Linked DNA regions of Macaca mulatta. The protein of the gene in region 4 interacts with the protein of the main gene of each other region in a biochemical or structural test. Links are inferred from orthologs where the notes say so. Each region holds a gene or a part of one and is shown on either strand. Other genes may lie near its edges. The genes, in order: ELK1, DUSP10, NR4A1 and MAPK8.

Region 1 (6,348 bases), on a different chromosome or scaffold from region 4:
GGATGCTGGAAGGGACTTGGGCCTAGCCCCACCACAGATTCCCACTCACACTCCCAGGGTCACTCCCCAAAGTGCACACACCTAGATGGTAACTATGGAGGCCATGCCTACAATCTCTCAAACTCCGTATACACCCCCCACTCCCTATTCCCGAGAGCCCACCCTCAGTTAGAGACCTCATTGGTCAAGACGACCCACAAGACCCTATCCAAATGCTGCTCTCAAACCTCTCAAGTCACCATCCAAACAGCTCAGGGTCAACTTCTAACTCATGTCCCACCCGTGAAATCCCATATGCAAATCCCAGACCAAAAAGCCCTGCTCAGGTTCCTTAAGCCACACCCCAACCCAGAAACAGTCCCACAGAAAGCCCCTTGGTCCCACCCACAAAAGTCCGCAGCCCTGCCCTTCACTAATCAAACCCCATCCCTCCAGTCCAGCGTCAGCCCAGTCAATCACACTCGAAGGCTCCACCCTCTTCAGGGACAACCACATTCGCCCTCCTCTGATTCCCGTTAGTCACCTGCCACATGCCAGTCCCATTGGGGTTGGCACCCACCCATCCCACACCTCCCCAGGCACTCACCAATGTATGTGTAGGAAGTAGGGATGGAGTTAGCGCCGGCCCAGGCGCCTGGAGGCCGGAGCCAGTTCCCGATCCTGGGGTCCGTTCGGGTCCTGGCCCACCTAGCAGGCTTGGGCTGAGTGGAAGCTCTAGGTCCCGGGGCTTCCGGCCCTTTTGTGGCTGGGAGATCTCAGGGCTGGAAGCCACGTGGCCGCCCGCCTGCCCTGCGGTGTCCATAACAACCGCGGGCAGCCGGGCTGGCACGCCCTCCTGTGGAGGGACTTCTGGCTCGGCCTTGGTAGTTTCCGGCACAAACCCTCTCTCCCTGGCAACTTCCAACTCTTCCTTGGGCCCTTCCACTTTCACTTCTGGGGGCAAAGCCCGGCCCAAACCTGGCTCCACATTCAGCTCTTCCGATTTCAGGTTTGGGGCCTCGGGCGGAGTCAGGATGACCTGGGAGAGGAGCAGGTACAAAGAGGGTAAGGATTGTTGGGGCCACAGGATTCTCCTGTGGGCTACCCAGTGATTTCCCCGGGAAAGTGGCACTTGGTACTGGGGACATCAGAGCAGGTTCTCCAACAGGACATAGGACTTCATCAAGGAAGTAGGGCTTCCTCTGGGGCAAGTCCTCCTATGGGACAGGGGACTTGGGGTAAGACAACCTGAAGCAGGTGGGAATCTGAGGGATATCATCCTCATTCATTAAAACAGTGGTTCTCAAAAATTTACCTTCCTCTGAACCAGCAACATCTGCCTCATTTGGTAACAAGTTAAAAATACAAATTATTGGGCCCCTCCCCAGCCCCACATATTCAGAAACTCTGGGGGTGTGCCTGGCAATCTGTGGTTTAACAAGCCCTACAGGTGATTCTGATGAGCGCTAGAGTGTGAGAACTAGTGCATTAAACAAATATATTTCAGGCACCTACATGTTCGGCAGCTACTAACTGTAGCACAGTATTCTCCCCTTTCTGTCTCAGGGTTTGTGTAGCTCTCTGTCCCATCCCTCCTTCTAAGAGGATGTCTGTGTTCTTCCTTCCACCATTATCTCCTTTAACAGGAGCACTATGTCTCTTCTACCAGCCTCCCTCATCATCCGGGGATTACACATCCGTCCTCTTTACTGCCTCCTCTTACTGGATTTCTATATTCCAGTCCTTACCTGCAGAGGCAAGCCGGCTTCCTCAGCCTCCAGGCAGGCCTCCAAGGGGCTTGGACTGGTGCTCCTGCTCCCCGAGGGGGGCGCTGCTGCTCCTGCAGGAGCTGCATTGGGGAGCACCACAGCAGGCCGAGGATGAGGGGGTGGCTGTGGCTGCAGAGACTGGATGGTGAAGGTGGAATAGAGGCCCGAACGCATGTACTCGTTCCGGCTGCTGCGTGCCAAACCACCCGGGCCTGCCATTCCTGCACCCTTGGGTGTGCCTGGCTTTCCAGAGGCAGTGTCCCCTGGGGTGGCATGTACAGCAGCAGGGGCCACATTTGGCATGGCGGAGGTAACAGACACCTCTGGCTGGGGCGGGCAGTCCTCAGTGGAGCACCCTGCGACCTCAGGATAGGACACAAACTTGTAGACGAACTTCTGGCCGCTCACCTTGCGGATGATGTTCTAGAAAGGGAGGAGAGGAACAGAGGGCCTGAGAGGAAAGGGGCAGGCTGGAGGCAGGGTGTGTGTATGTTGGGGTGGAGTGGTGTTTCTCTTCTCCTAGTGGCTCTCTTCCCACTTGCCCCTCTCTGGCTTTCCTGTCCCTCCTCTGTAAGTTCCCCTCTCAGCCTATCAGCCCATTTCCTCTCCCGTTGGTTTCTACCTCTTTCCTCTCCCCCTAGATTCCCCTTATCTATACCCCTCCCTAGTTCCTCCCCTTTCTCTCTTCTCTCCACAACAATTCTTTCTTTAAGCCCCTTCCCATCCACCCCTTTCCAAGCCTCCCTCTGTCACTCTCCAGGTCTATCTATCTGATTTTCCCACCCCCTCCACACTGTGGCTCCTCTTCACAATGGGGCCCGTGAAGGGAAGGTAGTAGGTGTGGGAGCAAGTCTTCTTGGCTCCAAGAACCAGGGGTTCACAGGCCAGGCCTTGTGGGTGACTGTCAGGACACAGTTTTGGAGACTAGCAAATGCAGTAAGACAAGAAAATGAAGTAACTGATATAAATGTTGGAAGAAAGTAAATTAATATAGATGGATGGGGCGATGAATTATTAATACAGAGGATTATTTGAAGCTAATGACACAGAAGTGGAATAGGGCAAGGTCACTGCAGAGGAGAGGGCGAGGAGGCCTCATTATTAATACCACTGTGGAGGTTGAAGCTAAAGCGGTAAGAAAATGAAGTAACTAACAGCAATTAGACAAGAATATTAAAAATACTGGTATAAATATTGGGAGAGGGCCTATATCAAGGCTGGCTTGGGTGGGTCACAGAGCATGTTTGGGGTTTTTCAGGTCTGGTGGGTCTCAGAGATGACCTAGCGTTCCCAGAGGGCACAGTGAGGGAGCCTCATTACTAATATTGTTCTGGAGGGTTGAGCTCAAGGAATAAAATATGAAAGTGGAATAAATGCCATAAACTATGAAGGGTATGCAGCATAGGTCCAGGGCTGTTCTTGGGGGCACGGGCAAGAGGAGTGTGGGAGCACTAGGGCATTCTGCGGAAGTCTTAGTGCTGGTCAGATATGTCACAGGGTGGGCCCGTGTTTCTCAAAAGAGGAACGAAAAGGGATATTCATGAATATTGTTTGGAAGTTTCAGCAGGAGGAATAAGAAGATGAAATAACTTGTATAAATATTGGGGGGAGGGGAAACCCAGCAGTGGCCTGGGGGTCTGAGAGGGCAGAATGGGGGAAATTTTAAATTTTAGCTGTAGGAATAAGATAATGAAAACAATTGATATAAATATTGGGGTAGACCAGTGCTGCTCTGGGAATTTAAGAAGATAGGGTGTGGAAGCTGGTACTAAACATGTTGTTACAGAGGTTTTAGCTTAAGGAATAAGAAAATAATTGGTTAAAAATGTTGGGGTCCCAGAGGACAAAGTAAGCAAAAGTTGGTATAATACTGTCAGGGAGGTTTTGATTCTAGGAATATGAAATATTCTGGAATAAGAGAAGATTATGAAATAACTAGGGAAGCCCAGCACTGGTCTAGGGCTTCCAGAGGACAGAATGAGGACCAGCCATTATTAACCATGTTTTCAAAATGTTGGCTATAGGAATATGACACGAAAATGAAATGCGCATGGCAGGGCAGCATCACTGTGGGGATCTCAGAGTGGGAGTAGGAGTCAGTATTAATAATGCAATGATGGTTTTTGCCAAAGCAGTAAGACAAGAAAGTAGGTGAGATAGTGCTTAGGGGCCCAATACTGGCCTGACAGTACCAATGGATGGGTTAAAAACTGATAAATTTTAACATTGTTTTCAAAGTCATAGCTATGGCAATCAAAACAAAATAAAATCTCTGACATAAATGTTAGGGGGGGTCCCAGCCCTGGTCTGAGAGACTGTACCTTGTCATAGTAGTACCGCAAGGCCCGGCTGAGCTTGTCGTAATTCATGTTGGTCTTGTTCTTGCGTAGCCCCCACAGCCGGGCCACCTCCTCTGCATCCACCAGCTTGAATTCACCACCATCCCGTGAAGTCCAGGAGATGATGTGGCCATTGCCTTGCTCTCTCAGCAGCTGCAGCAGAAACTGCCACAGCGTCACAGATGGGTCCATCGCTGGGGGAGTGCTCACGCCATCCCAGGGGTACCTGGAGGGCAAACAGCTGAGTTGAGAGGCTGTGGACATAGGAGGGGCAGAGGTCAGGGGGAGGAGGATTCCTTTTTTTGTCATCTTTTCTCCATCTCTGTCCTCAAACCCTACCATCATTCCCTAAACATTCCCAGACTAACTTCTAGCTCCCCAATCCAGCTTGGGATGCTCCCTGTGATGGGATACAACTCATGAGTATCTTAGGATGGTGTGAATGTATTTTGCCTGTGGGACAAATGTGAATCTGTGGCGGTCAGAGGGCAGACTGTGGTAGGCCAGATGATGCCACCCCTGTTCCACATCCTAATCCTTGGAACCTGTATGTTATTTATACTACGTAGCAGAAAAGAACTTTGCAGATGAAATTAAGGTTACAAACCTTAAGACAGGGAGATTATTTCTGGATTATTTGATTAAATTCAATCTAATCATATGAGCTCTGAAAAGCAGATGATGAAGAAAGAAAGGTAGCTCAGAGATGTGATGACAGAAGAGGCAGGGGAGATTCAAAATGTGAGAGGGACTCAACCTGCCATTGTTGGCTTTGAAGATGGAGGAAGGGGGCTCAGAGCCAAGGACTGTGGGTAGCCTCTTAAAGCTGGGAATGGCCATCAGCTGATAGACAGTAAAGAAACAGGGAATTCAGTCCTACGACCTCAAGGAATTGGATTCTGCCAACAACTTGAATGAGCAGGAAATGGATTTTCCCCTAGAGCCTCCAGAAGGAACACAACCCTGCCAATACCTTGATTTCAGCCCACTGAGACCAGTATGGGACTTCTGACCTATAACAATTTTTTTTTTTTTCTGTGGACTCTCAAAATTCTCCTCAGGTCAACAGGTATAACAGCTATAAATATAACTCATTATTTAAAAAAAAAATTTTTTTTTTTGAGACGGAGTCTCGCTCTGTCACCCAGGCTGGAGTGCAGTGGCGCCATTTTGGCTCACTGCAAGCTCCACCTCCCGGGTTCACGCCATTCTCCTGCCTCAGCCTCCCGAGTAGCTGGGACTACAGGTGCCCGTCACCACGCCTGGCTAGTTTTTTTTGTATTTTTAATAGAGACGGGGTTTCACTGTGTTAGGCAGGATGGTCTCGAACTCCCGATCTTGTGATCCACCTGCCTTGGCCTCCCAAAGTGCTGGGATTACAGGCGTGAGCCATTGCACCCAGCCACAAATATGTTATTTTAAGCAGCTAAATTTGTGATAATTTATTACAGCAAGAATAGAAAATTAGTTCCATCCCCCTTATTTGAGTGTTATCTGTATCTTCTACATACCATATAAATTCTACCATATAAATGTTAAGTTTTTCAGGTTTTTTTTGCCAGAGCCTTGCAAAGGCTGCTCACTCCACGTGGGGCTTCCTTCTTCTGCCTAGCAGTCTTTCTCATCTTTCAAGTTCCACCTTGAAGGTCCTTTCCTTTATGAAGCCGTCCTAAAACTGAACGCCTGATCTCTCTGTCCTGTTACTATCCCTGAATGTTCTCTTTGTTTTTTTTTTTTTTGAGATGGAGTCTCTCTCTGTCGCCCAGGCTGGAGAGCAGCGTAGTGGCACAATCTTGACTCACTGCAACCTCTGCCTCCCAGGTTCAAGTGATTCTCGTGCCTCAGCTTCCCGCATAGCTGGGATTACAGGTACCCACCACCACGACCGGCTAATTATTGTATTTTTAGTAGAGACATGGTTTCACCATGTTGGCCAGGCTGGTCTTGAACTCCTGACCTCAAGTGATCCACCCGCCTCCCACCTTGACCTTCCAAAGTGCTGGGATTACAGGTGTGAGACACCATGCTCGGCTCTGAATGTTCTCTTTCTCGATGACAGCAATAATTAACATCTACTGAGAGCTTAATACACATCAGGCACTGTTCTAAGCAGAGGCAATATGACCTGCTGGACAACTGCCCAGGCACTAGGGCCAGACTGCCAGTGTTTGAATCCTGGTTCTGCCACTTATTAGCTGTGTGACCCTGTGCATATTCTTTTTCTTTTCTTTTTAGAAATGGGGTCTCACTACGTTGCCCAG
Region 2 (5,751 bases), on a different chromosome or scaffold from region 4:
AGAGTTTTAGTCTTACTAAACCCTGATTAAGGTTAAAGGAATAAAGCTAAACTAGAAACATGCTATGTTCAGCTTCTCCCCAGAAAATCCAGTTGTTGCAAAGTTAACTAAAGGCCAGTAGCATACAGGCCCAGGGTGTCACCTCTCAAGCGTTCAACCCCATTTGCATCCACGTATGACATTCCAATGTGGCAATAATGCAGAAGATGGAGGAATCCCAGCAATGGTTCAAAATCCAGAGCAATTGAAAGAGGAAGACTTGCTAAGTTTTCGGATATATTAAAAGCTCAGGACAATAGCGTGTGGGCACTGCCTGAACAGATTCTTAACGACATTTCTAGACTCTAACGCATCTCTAAGCAAGCTTCCTTGAAGGAACACCAATTAGATAAACAGGTAGGGAAGGAGAAGGAGTAGAGAGAATAGCGATTTCACCTAAACTACATCTACTGGCTAGCCACCAGTGGACCAAGGAAAAAAAAAACCTGATATAAATTTTCATCTTAAAAGTTTACAGATGAGGTTTACTTCTCATAGTCAACAGTATTTCAAGAAAAGTAAGCATCTCTCTTTTTCCAACCTTTTCCCTTCAGTGCACAGTATTGAGCTCCAAATCAAGACCAGAAAGCATGGTGATGAGAGAATGAGCTTCCAAGTGCCTGGCTGGACCACTGGTTCCACTACACACACTTGATTCAGGAATAAACAAACTGGCATAAACACTAAACTTAGATGCTGCTTAATTTATATTAGACTCTCAGTGAAAGCTATTATGTTTATAAAACCTGCTGTGTTTTTCCTAACGCAAGACTGTAAGATTTCAGTTTATCCAATAACATAACGATGAAAATAAAATTGCGCCTATGCAGGTTGTGATTTGGAGTTGTTCTTCGGGCTGAATGCTATTTGTTATTGGTCTCGTTTTCCTTTAAAAAAAAAAAAAAGGCAGGTAAGCCTGAGTAATCTATAAGGAATGTGAGAGCTTTGGTTGAAATCCTCTTAGAACAAGTATATCTTACCCTAGTCATTAAATAGAAAACAATTTCCTAACTTCCTCCAACTGGAATTAAGTCAGATGGAATCTCAGTCATAACACCATGTATCAACCAGAAGTCCCTCATCTGCTTGTTGAGAAATTTTTCTTCCTCAGAGTTCCAGGTTTGGCTCAGATTTTATTAATAAAGAATCTGCAGTATCTCTGCATCCTCAGTGTTGCCAGTTGGGAATTACTTAATAGGGCATCAGAAACATCACCTTAGTATGTTGTGAAAAGGCCTCAGGCTTGGGTCAAAAACCCTGGATTCTGGCCCCTTCTTGGACACTAGAATTCTTATGACCTCAGAGAAGTCACTTTCCTTCTCTAAGTTCAGTGATCACCCTGAATTTCCTTTCAGACTCAATATTCCATGGTCCTGTGCTGACGGCATAATTAGCAAGGAAAACAGCTTGGCAACATGGCCGCAGATGTCAACACTACAGCAAATCCACCAGACCCCAGTGGCTGTTAAACCTAAGGCTGTTTTTTTTCTCTGGCGAAGGAACACCCCACTCCACTTAACTGTATTCTTCCTGGAATAACAACCTGCTGTAATATTTAGGAAAAGTACTAGACCACCCCTTTATGGTGATAAAAGTTGAAGTTACTTAAAAACAAAACAAAACAAAACAAAAACAAATGTTGAGTTTTGCTATATTGCAGGTGTTCCTAAAATGATATTTTGAGTCTTATAGCAGTTTGGGGCTATAGAAGTTGCAGAAATTAGGATTAGGATTAGGCTGATAGTTGCTTCCTTCTGGGGATTAAAGCCTGCTGTTGCTAAAACTTCCTCCTTGGGAACTACTCTGTCTACACAACCTGACCTTTCCTAGTTCAATGAGTTTGGGGCACACTGTCAAAGGAAAGCTAGTACCATCTCCTCTTATGCTCGATGAATAAGGATTAGTAGGGTGACCGGAAGGCATGGGTGTGTTTGGAAGGGGTGTCATATTCACTAGATGTTGCTTCCAAGGTGCTGAAGGGCGCTAGTAGATCCAGTAGCAGTAGCACCAGCTCTGACCTCCAATTCCTTACTTTCCATCCATTTTTCTGGTTATAGAGCACATAAATGCTAACTCCTACCACTATTTCACTGAGAACTTGAGGGATGAGGATTTCTAGTTGAACGGATCCCAACAAATTCAATTACTGCCCTTTTATATCCATCTTGATGGCTTGGATACACTTGACAGGCTATGACTTAGGAGAATGCTTAGGCTGTTTCAGTTAGCAGAGCCCTTCGAAACTCCAGGGCAGCTTTTTTTTTTTTTTTTTTTGCAACATAGGAATAAACCTTGAACTTGATATCAAAGCAAGAGCCGGAGGGAAAAGGAAGGCAGAGGATGAAAATTCCCTATGGGAGACAGTTACCAATGAACTCAAAAGCCTCTTCAAAGTACTGCCGCAGGTTCTGCTTGTTGCTGTCAGTGGCCGGCAGCCGCTTGTAGTTGAACAGGCCTTTCTCATAGTGGTAGAGGGGAAGATGAGTGGTGACGTTGATGACGTAGCCGATGTTCAGCCGCTGCATGGTGTCCAGGTCCTGAGCATCCTGCTCATTGCCAAGGAACAGGAAGGGCAAGATGGGGGTGAGCTCAGCGTTCTCGATGTCAGGGGTGGTGGGGATAGGCTGAGGTAGCAAGCTCGAGGCCGCGGATGCGCCGCCCCCCACCTCCCGGCACTCTTGGAGCTGGAGGGAGTTGTCACAGAGGTTTTCATGGTTCTGCTTAAAACTACTAAGTCCACCTGGAACACAAACACAGAAAGTGAGAGTGACTGAGATTTCAGAGCTGGCAGAAAATGCTACCTCCCCATTAGAATGAGTTTGCATTGTAGCTCAAGCATATTTTAAATACACACATAAATATGTATTTAAACAAAATAAAAATAAAAATAAAACAAAAAATAAAAGTCCATTTAGAGACCCAAGACAAGCTTCGGGGAGTATCACTGCATGGAGCACTTTGGAAATGTGCTCTTTCTACAAATGAGGGCATGTTCCCCTAGAAAGAGTTCCACGCAGCGTCAGGCAATTTCCTCAGCTGCAAATGTGACCTGCCTCAAAGAGCCATATGCTCAGTGGCCTACATAGAACCCTGTGCTTTGGGAGCCAAGAAAGGCACAGATGACCTCCTCGGGTGTAATCTCAGCACCACAGGAGCACGTCTTGCACCCTTCATAGCTCACCTCACCCAGAGGGCCAAGTGTGCTCCCAATACAGCAGAGTGGTTACAAGCAAGAACGTGGAAGAGACAGGTTACCTTGATTATACTCTGGGTACCATCATTTCCTGACACTATGACTTAAGTTCATTTACCTCTGTGCTTCAGTTCCACCATCTGTAAGCTGAGGGTGATGGCGTCTCCCTTTGAGTGCAACTGTGAGCCTCAGATAAATGAGTATGTGTAAAATACTTAACACATCTCCTGGCACACAGTAGAGCTCAGCAAGTAGTCACTATTTTAATTTATATTATTTATATGATTGCCCACAGGTGAAATCAGCAGAGAAGTACTTGGAAAAGACAAGCCAGGGTGGGGTGGGATGGATTGCTCTTATAATCTTTTTTCATATTCTCCATGTAGGTCCCTGACATTTGTCAACCCTGACTTTCAGTAGAACAGAATGTGAGAGCAGCGCAGTTGCTTACTCCTCGACTTTCCAAGGCTTATGGGCACATAAACCCATCAAGAAACCTCTTGTGGAAGTGTGAATGCATACTTTTGAGCTTACGGCTCTGCTCTGCCTCCTAAGAGTTATGCATCTAGCATAAAAAGCTTATAAACTGTGCTTGTTTCTCCATTTTTAAAATGCAAATCTTCCCCTGAACAAGTGCAATCTCATTTTGGGAATGGATCTTAGGGAAATCATCTAACCAAAGACAGTTAGCTAGATACATGGAGATGGTCACTACAATATTATCTGTTTTATATATATTTTTAAAAGGCCAAGTAAAACACAAAAACAAATTAAAAGAAAAAAAAGTTATTACATTCATTCCATGGAGTATTATGTGGCCTTTAAAAGAGTAGTTGCAAAAACGACGTGAAAATAAATAAAATATTTTGGTTTAATATTAAATTTTTAAAAAGCTAAGTAAAAAACATTCAACAAAAGCTGAAGGACTGTACAAAAAATGAACAATTGTTTAAGTTAGGGAATTTATGGATCACAGTTTATTGTTTAAATTTTCTGCTAATATTTTTACACACAATGACATGCACAGATAAACCCAAAGGATTATTACAAAGCTCAAATTATATAATATACATGTAAGTGCTATAAAATCTGGATTGACATTATTAGTGCCAACTGAACTCTAATTCAAATCAAACAGAACTAGATACACTCTGGCTTTCCCTTTGAAAAGAGGGGGAAGTAGAAAACTCCTATTAGCTGAAAGCCACCAGAACACAACATCTACTACCCTCAAAGACAGATGGCTTGTGGCTGTCTTGATAGTTCCAGGAGATAAGGCAGAAAACCCAAAGCATGAACAAGAGACGGTTATGTTGCAATAAGGACAGGAAGTCTATCTGTCCACTAGCCTCTGAGCCTAGCATATGTTCTTCTCCATTTCAAGTCTCATCTTTGACAAACCACAGTGGGAAACTCCAGACCATAACCTAGACCGAGTCTCATGACTTTTCATAACCAATGGAGCCGGAGCTGGCTGCGTAAAAGAGAGAAATCATATTCTCCTTAAGGTATGGTTATGATCCAAAGAAAACTCAAAGGGCAATACAATGTTCACTTTACTCATCGAAAGTAAAAAGTCAAAACCTACCTCAGCTTTTTGAAAAGAAAAACAAGAGCTGTATACAAATTTCAGCTGATTTCTAGAATTAACCTCTGCCCTTACGTATGACAGTTCATTCTGCTAGGCAGTTATGATAATAAACTTTGAACCTGAAGAGAGAATTCTGAAGTAGAAAGAAAGAAAATATTGAAAATAACTTCACCAGTGAAGACTTAAAAAATAAATAAGATAAAAACTACCCATTGTCATCATCACAGCCTCCACAAAAGGGATTCTGAAGAGTTAAAATCTGCTCAGCTTTGCCTCCACAGAAACCCAAATTCCACACAGATTCTGTGATGGGAACCTAATTCACTTTTTTCTTCAAAGGCGGCAGTTGTTACATTTTTCCATATAAGATGAGAGGAAAGAACAACAAAACAAATTCAAAAGAAGTCTCTAAAAGCAGGGGAAAAACCTCTCTGTTCTTATTTAGGGTACTCAAGCTGTAATTTGTCTTAAAAGCAGCTAGTTTAAAAAAAAATGCTAGAAAACCCCACACACAGAAAAAAGCAGCGTCCAGCTTTTTAAAATTCTGCCTCTACACCTCCTTTCTCAATGACATCAGCTGGAGGCTCCCCACCTGCCCAGTTGCCATAGCAGTTACACAAAGACATACAATGACATCAGTTGGCATGATATCAGCTCTTTGAGTGCAAACAATACAAGAAGAACTACTTTGTTTAAGGCCTTTGGTGCAACTGTGTTCTGGGGAGCCAATGATGTAATGCTAACAGGTGGCATGGCCTTCCATTTGCCTAATGGGGGGAAAAAACCATGGGGAGTGGGGGGAGGAGGGAATTTGAGACAGACATGCAGAATGCTCCAAATCACAGAGCATGCTTATGTGCAAAAGTATGTGTGTATCGTATGTTTAAGCCATGTAGGAACTCTGTTCATATAATATTTGGAGGTGGGA
Region 3 (6,435 bases), on a different chromosome or scaffold from region 4:
AATCCTAGTTCCACTGCTTATCACCTTGGGCAAATTACATAATCTCTTTGTACCTCATGCTCCTCATCTGTAAAAATGATGACATCTCTAAAATTAACAATCACAGGGTTATCAGCAGGCTTTTAAAACAGTTTTTTTTTTTTTTTTTTGAGACGGAGTCTCGCTTTGTCGCCCAGGCTGGAGTGCGGTGGCACCATCTTGGCTCACTGCAAGCTCCGCCTCCCGGGTTCACACCATTCTCCTGCCTCAGCCTCCGAGTAGCTGGGACTACAGGCGCCCGCCACCTCGCCCGGCTAATTTTTTGTATTTTTAGTAGAGATGGGGTTTCACCGTATTAGCCAGGATGGTCTCAATCTCCTGACCTCGTGATCTGCCCACCTCGGCCTCCCAAAGTGCTGGGATTACAGGCGTGAGCCACTGCGCCCAGCTAAAAAAAGTTAATGTGTAAAAGACTTAGGACAGTGCTAGATACACATATCTGCTACATGTCATTATTAGGAGAAGTTCAATGAGGACACACACATAAAAGCTAGCCACAGACCCTGGTTCCTAGTCCAAGGCACCCTGGGCACCTGGCCTCTCCTTCCAGGGTGGAAGCCAACTATGTGCCTCACCCCACACCCCAGCCTCTTCAGCTCTCCCCTAACCCCGTTCAGCTAGAGTACCTTGACCCACATCTCTCCTTCTCTTCCTCCACCCACTCCAGTGCTCTCTCCTCTCGACTACGCTCCAGAGTGAGGGCAGGACCAGGCCTTCACTGGCTATTGGACTGCCCTTAAGACCGATGAGGTCTGGGAAAAGAGAAGGAGATGATGGGAGCTAGGAGGGACAAAGAGGAGGAGGACCCCAGAGGGTGGGCAATGGGCTTCCTCGTCCTCCTGACCTCTGCCCAAGGTCTACAGGCCAAGGGGAGGACCTCTGGCCCACAGTACCCAGGCTCTCCCCTTACGACATTACCAGCACCCCTCCCTCCCGATCCTGTGGGTATGATGGGGAGCAGGAAAAGGCCACAGGAGAGAAGGAGGGAAGGGAGGGCAGACTGGAACATCTGGAGCATCTTTAACCCTAAACAGAAAGCAAGACGAGGCTTCCAATCTGCCCCAGCCCATGGACTACACCTGCTTTCCAGGATGACAGTGTCATCCTCCCATCCCCTGGAAACTGGTCTATAATTTCCCCCAGCCTTGTCTTTTCTCCCTACCAGCCCACTGCTGAGAAGGAAGGGTAGGGAGGGCCAAATACCACCTACCATAATCAGGCCCAACCTGAGCACCCAGCTCTTCCCCATCTGGTTCTCAGAACAGGGGCCAGAGTCTGGCACCTGGTGGTGCCCACAAATGATTTTAGCATCTTCAAGCAGGTATCTGTTTCCCTGCCTGCTCCAGATCAAAATGCCCCCCTCAATAGTCACACCACAAGCATTTACTGAGGACCCCCTGGAAGCTAGGCAGCGTGCCCCGAACCACAGGAGAGCCAAGAATGAGCACACCAAGATCCCAGAGCCCCAGGATCTGATAAGGGATGAACCAAGGTCAAGGACAATCTGCACTGGGCAGAGGGCAAACCAAAGGCTGAGTGGGCTTGGCGGAGAAAGTGACCCCCAAAATGGGGTGGACCATCAGGCCAGATTTCAGTCCCCAGTTCCTGCTCCCCACCAACCTCATTTCCCAGCCACTCGCTGTGGTCCCGTCACATGGGCCTTCTCTCCCCACTCAGGGCCTCTGCATCCACCGTTCCCTCTGCCCAGAACTGGCTCTTCCTGATCAACCAGGTTTCCATTCCCATGTCACCTCCCTGAACAGCTTGTACCCCCACCCCACCACACTAGCCTGATTTTTATTCATCAGAGGTCTAATGTTCACATCTGTTCACTGGTTTATTACCTGTCTACCCAACCAGAATGTAAGGATGCTGTCCATCAGAATCACTGCAGAATCTGCAGTCTCTAAACTCTGCTCAGCACTGGCAGGTGCTCAGTAAGTGTGCGTGGAAAGGTGGGGGGTGCACATGCCTGCATTGGAGCTGTGCTGGGAGGAAGGTCAGCTAGGTGGGGACAGCATTCCAGCTCAAGAGCTGTCCCTTCCATTTGGGGGCAGATCCAAGAGCCAGAGCGTTCTTCCTTATGTTGAATCACATCCCTGACTCTAAAAGTCCCTGGATCCCTGCTCTGTCCCCTGCACTGGCCCACAGGAAGCCTCATTCTAGTCCTTCCTAGCAAGTATTTTAGTCTTTTCTTAACTAAACTGCTCCTTGCAACAGGACACCACTGACAGGCCCTCTGCCTGACAGGCCCTGGTGGCCTCCTGAGTACAAGCTCTACATTGGCCAATATCCCTACCCAGAAATGGGAATATTACTACTATTAGCAATAACAACAGCCGCTAATATTTGTTAAACAACATGTGCCAGATACATTAAGCACTTTACATGCATTTTCTCATTTCAGCCTCACAATGCTATGAAGAAGGGATTATTATTATAAACATTTTACCAATGAGGAAACTAAGGCCCAGAAAGAAATGTTAAGCAACTTGCCGAAGGTCACACAGCTAGGAATTGGCAAAACTGAGATTAGAACCCAGGGAGCCTAACCAAGGAGTCCAGAATCAGGCATTCTTGCTCCCCCTACCGCCCACTTGGACCTGTGTAGTGGATGGAGGCTTCACACTGCACAGAGCAGTCCCACAGCCTCCGTCCAGGGAACATGTCAGAAGCTAAGGGCCTGGGTTCCTGGGCCTTTGAGCCAGGCACAGGGCCTGAACTCCTCAGCTGACTTTCTTAAGTCCAGCAGAGGCCTCAGCACAGGCCTCGTCAGTCACATTCACATTGTTAATCTCAGCCCATCCTTCTGCCCAGTTGCCTTCAATTAGAATCTTGATTTTATACTGTGCACTTGTCATTCCTCACAGCTCTGCATGACTACAAGGAGTCGGCTGACTTCCTTTTTAAGTCTTCATCCAAGTCACCGATCTTAAACGTTCACTTGGAGTAGGTCTAGGAGCAAGTCTTGTAGCCCCACCACTAGGGCTCCAGGCCAGGCTGACAACAGCCCCCAAATCCATCAGCACCCACTGGGCATAACTGTTGTGAAACCGACCTCTGCTCAGCCTGCGTTTTCCCAATGTGCCGCTAATACTAGCCCCACATCCAAATTAACAATTCACTGTAAACCACCTCTGTAGCGTTTCCCCTATCCACCAGGTCATCTATCAAAAACGAAGGCATAAAAACGATATGAGCCTGCCAGGCGCGGTGGCTCACGCCTGTAATCTCAGCACTTTGGGAGGCCGAGGCGGGCGGATCACAAGGTCAGCAGTTCGAGACCAGTCTAGCCAATATGGTGAAACCCTGTCTCTACTAAAAATACAAAAATTAGCCAGGCGTGGTGGCGGGCGCCTGTAGTCCCAGCTACTGGGGAGGCTGAGGCAGGAGACTCACTTGAACCCGGGAGATGGAGGTTGCAGTGAGCCGAGATCACGCCACTGCACTCCAGCCTGGGCAACAGAGCGAGACTTCATTTCAAAAAAAAAAAGGGGGGGGGGTAGGTTGTGGAGGGGAATGAGCCAAGTCAGGGAACTGTGTCCTGTCCTCAACACAGACCACCATGGTAAGGAGGTCTGGAAATACCGCGCCCCCACCCCTCCCAATACAAGGAGGGAAGATGTTGCGGCAAAAAAACAAAACAACCACCAAAAAAACACGCCTGGGAGACACAAGCCCCAAGTCCTAATCCCCAGCTCCGCCTGATTCCACGAGACCCCTAGCTTTGGTTTCTTGACTCAGTCCCGTGAAGGGGTTGCATCGCGCAGCATCCGTCCCTCCCGGCTGGGTCTCCTGGTAGACTCCTGGAAGCTCCCGCGCTCCTGGAACCGGTTCCCGCAGCCGGCGGGGAAATGGAAGGAATTTCTCCGGCCTGGCCACCTCCAGCGCCCCTCGTGGGCCAAACCCCACCCTTGGCGGGCTGGGGAGAGAAAGCCTTGGCCGTCGCCCTTGGGGACTGACTCTGAGCCAGCAAGTTCCGCTGGGAATCCAGTCCCTCCCCCGACTCCCCAGTTTCCAAGCGGGACTCCGGCGTGGCCCTGAGCCCGCCCCAAGGCATCCACTAAAGACCCGAGATTGCCCAGCCTTTCTGGGGCCCACCTCCCGCCACACCGGCAGCCCCTCACCTGGCCCCGCGGGCTCCTCTAGCTTCTCCACTCCTGCTTTCCGGGGTCGCGCACCAGCAGGCCCTGAGCTGCTCTGCGCCGCAGGGGCGCCCATGCCTGGAGGCCGGGGGTCGCGGGCGCCGCGCTGGGACCCCGCCAGTTCCGCCGCCGCCGCCGCCTCGCGCTCTTGCAGCCGCGCCGCCGCCGCTCGGCGCCCCCCGCCCCCAGGAAGCCCCCCGCCCGCAGTTCCGGCCTCGCCGCGCCCCCCGCCCCCGCGCCCGCGGCCGCCCGCGCGCTGTCCCAGCCCCGGCGCGCCTCCCCCGGCGGGCGGGGCGGGGACCGTGACGCGTGCCCATTGACGTCTCCGGAATCCCGGCGGCGGCGGCCGACGCAGCCTCATCAATGGGGCTAAAAATAGCTGCGCCCGGAATAGCCGCGAGCGCCCCGCCCCGCGGCTCCCCCTACTCCGCACACCCGGTTACACAACCAGCGGCCAGAGCCGGGGAGCTGGTTCTCAGGTGAAGGTGCCGAGGCCTCGCTCACACCTCCCGAGGCGGCGCACCTGGGGCTAGGTTATAAATAAACTTACCCGGGGCTTCCCCAGGAAGAGGTGGAAAGAGAGAGGCCCAGAGAGACTCGGTGGCGGCCGAAAGTCACACAGCGATTCGGCTACTGGCGAAGGCAGGGCCTGGCCTTTTGAGTCTGCGGGCGCCCTGCCTGCATCGCTTGGCATTCATGCCATCCCAAGGGCAAGGAACCCAGGTAGTAGAGTACCCAGCTTCCACACGAGAAGGCAGCTTACAGAAAAATAGGACTTCCTCCTGAAGAGGGCACTGCCCGAGGTGGTGGTGCAGGCCCCGGCAAAGCCCAGATGATGGATTCACTGACCTGGCTGCTCCCATACCGCTGTGTGACCTAGGGCAGTCACTTGACCTCTCTGAGCCTCAGCTTCATCATCTCTAAAACAAAGATGATATGATCAGATTATCCACCCTATCTGGCTGTCAGGATGATAACAGCTGTGGAGGTGCCTTGTACACAGTAGACCCTGAGGGTTAGTTCTCCCTGCTCTCCCCAATCCACAGGAGTGTTTAATGCACTCAGAGACCCACCACCGTGGCCAGGAAGCCCTGGAAGGCCCACCCTCCTCTGACCGGAGTCTCCAGGCCCAGGCTTCCACGGTAAGAATCTTCCTGGGGGTGCAGGCACTTGGAAGGTTTCTCTCTCCCATGTGACTGGAGCCTTCTTTGGAAATGGGAGAATCATCCTGTCCTGAGCAAATCCTTCTCCCCCATCAGCTGCCCACTCAGGAAAGGCTGGTCAGGAAGGCCAGCTCAAGGTTGGAGCAATGGTGTTGGGGCTGGCTGGGTGGGTGGGGTTTGGGGTTACCATCTCTGTTCCTATACCTCCATACAGGCAAGGTCATTGGGGAACACCCATTAGGGAGGATGCAGTCATGTGCTCTGCTGTGCCAGCCACTAGTCACTGCTCCCTTTTGGAGCCACCTTAAATTATGAGCATGCTATACAATCTCCAGCACCCAGGCCAGGCCCCACGCAGCAAAGAATCTCTTCTGTGCTCAAAATTCTCCAAAAGAGGCCCCACACCTCCACTCAGCCCTCATTCCAGGGGCTGCATTCCTCTCTCCACCCCGCTGCCCACCCCCAGAAATCCTTTGCTGGACCAATCCTAAACTCTTGGTGAAACTCGGAATTCCCTTTCTCTCATTCTTCATAATGATCCCAAGAACCTCTGGTTTGTCTCAAAATCACCTCCCAAGAACCTGTACATTTCTCTCCCAGGTTCAAGTATTAGGTCAATTTACAGATAAAGAAACTGAGGCTTCAAAAATGGCAAGGTGTCAGGGTGGGGGAAAGGGACAGGCTTTTCCTCACTCACCCTGTGTCCTCCTCTTTCCTACCCCAGCAGCTCCTTTCCGATGGGCTTCTTAGAGGAGCAGCTACCCCACCCCCTCTTTTCCTTTCTTTTTCCAGAAGTCTAACTTTTGAAATACATTTTAAAATATTTGCCTGTGTGGGAGAAATACATTTATTTAGACAGGAAGGGAAAAAAAGGGCTCAGTTACCAGTTTTTCCATGAAGGCTTCCAGCCCACAGAGGTCTCTCCTTTCCATAAATACTTTCAGCATAACTTGTCTTTATTATATATTCTCCTATTTATAATCAAATAAAACATATTCTAAAATGTGGAATGCCAGAACACGCACACTTAGGGTGGCATGTGGAGGTGGCGTGAGATGGTGGAAGAAGCAGTCTCTAGAGGTCTGGGA
Region 4 (5,587 bases):
TGATGTCCTCTTCCCTCCATCTTTCAGACAGCACAGCAGGATTAGCATAGAACAGAACACTGACAAGGCTGGCAGAAAGAGTGCTTCTTTGCACACTGTCAAGCTTCTCTGGATTGTTAAGGGGGTTGTGTGTAGGCTTCTCATTTAACAGGCTGGTGTTTCTCTTAGGAACACCTGGTATGAACACACTGTGCCTTTACCAACTTGGAAGAGTGCACGTCAGGAACAACCAGCAGCCAAAGGTGCATGACACACTGAAAACTGTTCAGCAAGCAGTATGACAGAGCTGAGATGCTCTATTTGCATATAGTATAACTAAGTGATCCCAACAATGGTTTTACAAATGGCCAGTATATATTAGAGGGAAGAGAATAGTAACCAGGAAGACACAGGTAAAGAATTGGCATCTCTTTCTTAATCTGTAAAGATAATAAAAATCTTGGTCAAAATAACTTTCTCATAGTAAGACAGTGAATATATTAAGTATATAAAATTGAAAAATCAAAATTATAGAACAAGAAAGGTGGTTTCACACAAGTACTACCTGACAGAAATGTTATTTGTAACTTCTCTTGGGAAAAAAAATGTTTAAGATGCTTAAAGGATTCCAAAATAAAAAGAACCAATACCTATTTAGCTTAACAAATTTAAGAGCAAAATTGTATTTAGATGTAGTAATTTAAAACCTAGGGCACACAACATTTAACAAAGAGACCTTGTTTTTAGGATATAATTTGTTAAATATTTTAGTTTACACTAAGTAATTCGAGTTTGTTTTCTTTGAATTGAACTCAATGTTATGGTTGGCAAGTGGCAGCTGGCGTTTACAACAAATGATACAGTCAGACACCTGGTTTTCCTTACTTAACCAAAATCTGTATCAATAAAGATGGCTTATCAGCAATCAAGCATAAAATAAGAGAACCTTCTGAAAGCATGTCTGCTGTGAAAGTGCAACAGTGACATAATCTACGTTACAGAAAATACAGCTAATTGTCAAATTAATATAAACACACTCATTCTCAAATTTCTGCTAAAACTGTGAATCCAGTATTTCCTGTCTACAATTCAAGAGGTGTTATAGTCTTAAAACTCTAATTTGTCTAATCAAATTAATGCACCTTGTTGTATTAGAAAAGGGACTGATAAAAAGGCTGGGAAGCTGGAAATCATGACTCTAAGCCATCAAAAACAAACCTGCTATTTCAAAGTATATAAAAAGGCTAACGTATTTTAATCTTAAATATTGCACATTAACAATGATGTAAAATATCTCATTCAAAAGGAATTTTGCACTAAATATATGAATAAAATGCCAAGCAAATTTTCAGACACTGCATGTTAAGCCACACCTGTTCTTCCCATTGGTCACGAATTCCAAGGGGCTTTCTGCCTAGAACCTTGCTGCTTATGTGAGTATGCATTTCCTAGTTCATTACATGAAATCCCTCTTGTTCCAGAGATCATTTAAAAGGTGCCTGGGTCTATTACAGACACCGTATTTCAGAAATAACGAGACTTCAAAGACATTTTACTTGGGAAAAGTTCAGTTATAGAGAAATAATTCTGCAGATAGAAAATGTAAACAGTTAACATACACTTGTCAGGAGCAGCACCATTCTTACACTACTCGACATCCACATTGCATGTTATGTTGAAAATCAGGTATAAAAAAATAAAAGACTCAGACTAAATAACCACCATTTATGCCTGCTCTGCTCAATGTGAAGAAACAGTCCTTAGAAAATGACATCCTATATATGGCTGTGTGCTACTATTTTCAGATGAACGGTATATTGCTCATTTGATACATCACCTACACAAATCTAGGTAGGCTTTGGAACCTCCCAATAGCTAGTATAAATATGATTATGCTACAAGTAGAATCAAATGGCCAGAAACACCAGAACAACTGGTGTTCAACTGATAGACACTCCAAGTAATAGGAAACCGGAAAGGTCCAAGGGCCCGAAGCTGCAGGAAAGGGAAAGACTAGACTCTAGAACATTGCTGGGACCTACAGCCTGAGTAGATTAACTCAGTGTATACAAAAACAGGCTCATAGCTAGTAGAAGTGAACCATCTGTTTATTTGCATTGAAATGTATTATTCATGAAGTATCCTCTTGACTTTATGTGATCATAAACTTTGAGCATGCCACAAATTTGCAGAATACACCATGTTCTTTTTACTTATTTCTGTTGGGTAGGGTGGGGACATAAGGTGGTGGTAGATGCCCAGCATCTTCAAAGACATGCTCTGAGTTATTCTGCCACTTAGATGACGGGGCTTTTGCCAAAATTAAGTAGGATTGCCTACCAATTCTTGTAACTAAATTAGGATTGGCAAGTAGCAAATATTGGAGGTCTCCTAACACGTTCATCATTTACAGTAGTTATTCCTGAATATAACTGGCTACAAGTTATTTTCCCTCACTCCTCTGGGGTTATTTCATTGATAAGCACATAACCCTGAAGGATAGTATCATGAACAAAACATCTGAAATAAATTCTAATAAAAAAAACTATAAAAATCTTAAATAATTCATGATATAGGCAAGTCACCACATAATAGTTGCTTTGATAAACAAAATCTTACAAATTCAGTTAAAAAAATCAGCAGCATAAGATAAAGCAAATATGCAAAAAATTTAAAACATGATAAAATAATTAGGTTTACATTATACAGTTAATTACAGCAAAAAATACAATACAGTTTTGTTGCTGTTTTGAAACACAACTTAGGTTTTAAATTACATCACTTGAAATTAAAAAAAATAAACTACTTTACTACAAAATGAATTCTACATTTTTTGAAAAATCACTCAAAAATAAGACCACTGAATTGTTTTCAAAGTAGTTCTATCAATGACTAACCGACTCCCCGTCCCTCCCACCCCCCCACGGCCCAAGTAGTCATCTACAGCAGCCCAGAGGCCCAGCTGATGCTTCTAGACTGCTGTCTGTATCCGAGGCCAAAGTCGGATCTGTTGACATTGAAGACACATCATTGACAGACGACGATGACGATGGATGCTGAGAGCCATTGATCACTGCTGCACCTGTGCTATGAGAAACAAAACAGCAAATCAGTTGCAGACAGCTGCAGATCGAGCTACTTGCACTGCACTGCCTGCCTCTAGTGGTAATTTTTTCTCTTGGGTTTAGAAGGCTCACTAAAAATAATCGCAAATGATATCCAATACACTAAAAAACACTCTTCATTGACAGCTATGAGGTGAGAATTCTGAAAATGTCTAGAATCGTGGAGTCCTATCCTTTCAATGAATGTGTTTTCCAGTTTAAGACAAGAATTTACATCTGAGCCACATTTAGAAATGGTCCTGCAGCAAGATCCACAAATGGGCTTCAGGGTACGTGTGAATACTGCTGATAATACATGCAAAACTGTCTGTAATGCCTTTTTTTGGACAGAAGATCTTAAAGGACTGTATAACTACAAAAGTTAAAAGCTACTTCCCTACAAAAAAGTCTTTATAGCTTTGCACTAAAAAGGAAAAATTCAAATGATTCAAATTTGAAACAAGATGTACTTCTGGCACATCTTGTTTTAAAGCAAGCGCCAAGGAATAAAATAATTTTAACAGGAAGAAACCTTAATTCAACTGCCCCAGTTTATACAAGGTTATGGGACATGACAGTGTCACTCAAATGGCCTAGTTAAGTAAACTTGGGTCTTCTTATTTCTACGCTAATACTTGATAAGTAGAAATATGGATTTATTAAATAGATAAAGTAGGAGCAAACAGTTTCTTTTGCCGAAAGTATTACCTAATAAGGACTTCCTGAATTTTAAAAAGTAACACGAATACCTGAGCTCGAGACAGAAATCCTCTCAAGGGGATTGGTTTAGGAAGGGGACAGGAATGACTTACACTGGGGTATAGAGAAAAAAGGTAACTCATGCACTAGGCTAAGTACTTTTAAACCACATGAACACTAAATAAGGGTCATTCCAAATTTGAATAACGCAAGTTACTTAAAAGTTCTCAAGAATACATTTATGAAATAAAATCAATGGTCTTCAAATGGAACACTGAGCAGAATTTCTGAGGGTGAGGTTCAGGCACCCAACGATGCTGAAACCAAATATGGCTGAAAACCACTGCTCCTGAACCCAGCATCTGTATTTGAGATCATCTCTCCATTCTGTCCAGATAAGCAATAAAACACTTCAATATGAAAGGTCCTCTGCGAGCTTTTCTTCAAATGCAAAAAGAAAACAGGCAGTGTAGTGGGAATAGGAAAATCTTTAGGGAGGGGACTGGGAGACAGAAAGGAATGGAACCACAAGAGACAAAGCAGGTGATGGGAGTTGAAACAGAAGAGAAAAGCAGGATGAGTATTTCAGGCCTGAGAGATGAGAGGTAAAATAGGTGATAATCTCCTAGACCCAAGAAAGGTCCATTAGCTTCTCAGTCAGAGTGAAACTGAGATAGTATATTCTTTTTAGTTCAGTCAATACTTGGAATGAGCCTTTTCTGACTGAACAGTATGATACATCTGTGTAACATACATAGTACACAATGGCTAGTTTCTAAGACTTGTACTGAAACATTCAAACCATAAAAGGGATCCAACATATATAATTTTTATATATGCCTCTAGTTCAGGGTCTATTATTTTATCCAAATGTTTTAATCTGATAAAAATTAACTTTTAAATGCATTAACTTTTTAATCTAAAAATCAAGTACCTAAGGAAAAAAAACCACACACTTGTTTTTTCTTTAAAGCAATACAGTAAATTCTCAAATATCTGAATGGTAATAATATAGAAAATCATTAGTCTCAGGTGGGTCATTCCTCTCTCAAGTGAGTCTCTACACACTCAAGGCAGGCAAACTTACTTTACTATTAGCCAAACCAAAATAAATATAAGAAGGCACTCAAAGGGGGAAAAGAATAAAATTCATTTTAAAAATCAAGTGGAAATGGTACTATGGTTATCTGATATTTTGATTTACCAAGCACTACTCCTTTTGTTACAGTACATAATCAAGAGCGGAATATTTTCATAACAGCTTAATTTGCTAATACTCATCTTTGCAAGCTATAACTGAGAATCCAGAAGATGTCTAGAAACCTCAATTTCTATCTTTTCCACTGACTTATTTTGTGATCATAAGCAAGTGTTGGACTAAGATTCAAATTATTCACTTACAAATTAAGAACAAATACAACTGCTCTAACTCATGAGATTATTACATTTACTCAAACATCTGGCACTCCAGCTGTGCCACTCAATTGGATAGTATGCTAAAGTATAAAACTGTCCCACATAATGAACTTTCCAAATCCCACCTGAGCCTCTATCATGAACAATTCAGTTATACTACTACTATGTAGCAATACAAAGCTAATTAATTACATGAAGCATTTAAAATAGAGCTTTAAATTTGTTAGAAGTAAATTGTAGAGAAAAGTCCATTTCCAAAATAGGTAAAAGCTGTCAAAACCCATTCATATTTTGAACAGGATCTACACTATAATCTGGAAGACTGCATTCTTGATCAAAGATTTAAAATATACAACTCTAAAATATATAAGCAAAAATGTCAAAGCAAT

What was found.
Region 1: of the proteins of MAPK8 (region 4) and ELK1, one has a biochemical effect on the other in vitro, tested with the Homo sapiens proteins (3 studies listed by BioGRID). The link is inferred for Macaca mulatta from reciprocal best matches to the Homo sapiens genes MAPK8 and ELK1.
Region 2: the proteins of MAPK8 (region 4) and DUSP10 form a complex in vitro, tested with the Homo sapiens proteins (2 studies listed by BioGRID, with this or other methods). The link is inferred for Macaca mulatta from reciprocal best matches to the Homo sapiens genes MAPK8 and DUSP10.
Region 3: of the proteins of MAPK8 (region 4) and NR4A1, one has a biochemical effect on the other in vitro, tested with the Homo sapiens proteins (2 studies listed by BioGRID). The link is inferred for Macaca mulatta from reciprocal best matches to the Homo sapiens genes MAPK8 and NR4A1.

The regions. Positions count from the first base shown.
Region 1 is NC_133426.1:47,660,687-47,667,034, forward strand, and holds the start of ELK1 (ETS domain-containing protein Elk-1), read right to left. Parts: upstream 4,280-6,348; coding exon 4,070-4,279; intron 2,172-4,069; coding exon 1,728-2,171; intron 1,019-1,727; coding exon 587-1,018; intron 1-586. UniProt on the Homo sapiens protein: Transcription factor that binds to purine-rich DNA sequences. Forms a ternary complex with SRF and the ETS and SRF motifs of the serum response element (SRE) on the promoter region of immediate early genes such as FOS and IER2.
Region 2 is NC_133406.1:79,589,194-79,594,944, forward strand, and holds part of DUSP10 (dual specificity protein phosphatase 10), read right to left. Parts: intron 2,780-5,751; coding exon 2,408-2,779; intron 1-2,407. UniProt on the Homo sapiens protein: Protein phosphatase involved in the inactivation of MAP kinases. Has a specificity for the MAPK11/MAPK12/MAPK13/MAPK14 subfamily. It preferably dephosphorylates p38.
Region 3 is NC_133416.1:59,216,883-59,223,317, reverse strand, and holds the start of NR4A1 (nuclear receptor subfamily 4immunitygroup A member 1), read right to left. Parts: upstream 4,355-6,435; 5' UTR 4,261-4,354; coding exon 4,167-4,260; intron 1-4,166. UniProt on the Homo sapiens protein: Orphan nuclear receptor. Binds the NGFI-B response element (NBRE) 5'-AAAGGTCA-3'. Binds 9-cis-retinoic acid outside of its ligand-binding (NR LBD) domain.
Region 4 is NC_133414.1:60,722,093-60,727,679, forward strand, and holds part of MAPK8 (mitogen-activated protein kinase 8), read right to left. Parts: intron 3,067-5,587; coding exon of another isoform or gene 3,062-3,066; coding exon 2,916-3,061; 3' UTR 1-2,915. UniProt on the Homo sapiens protein: Serine/threonine-protein kinase involved in various processes such as cell proliferation, differentiation, migration, transformation and programmed cell death.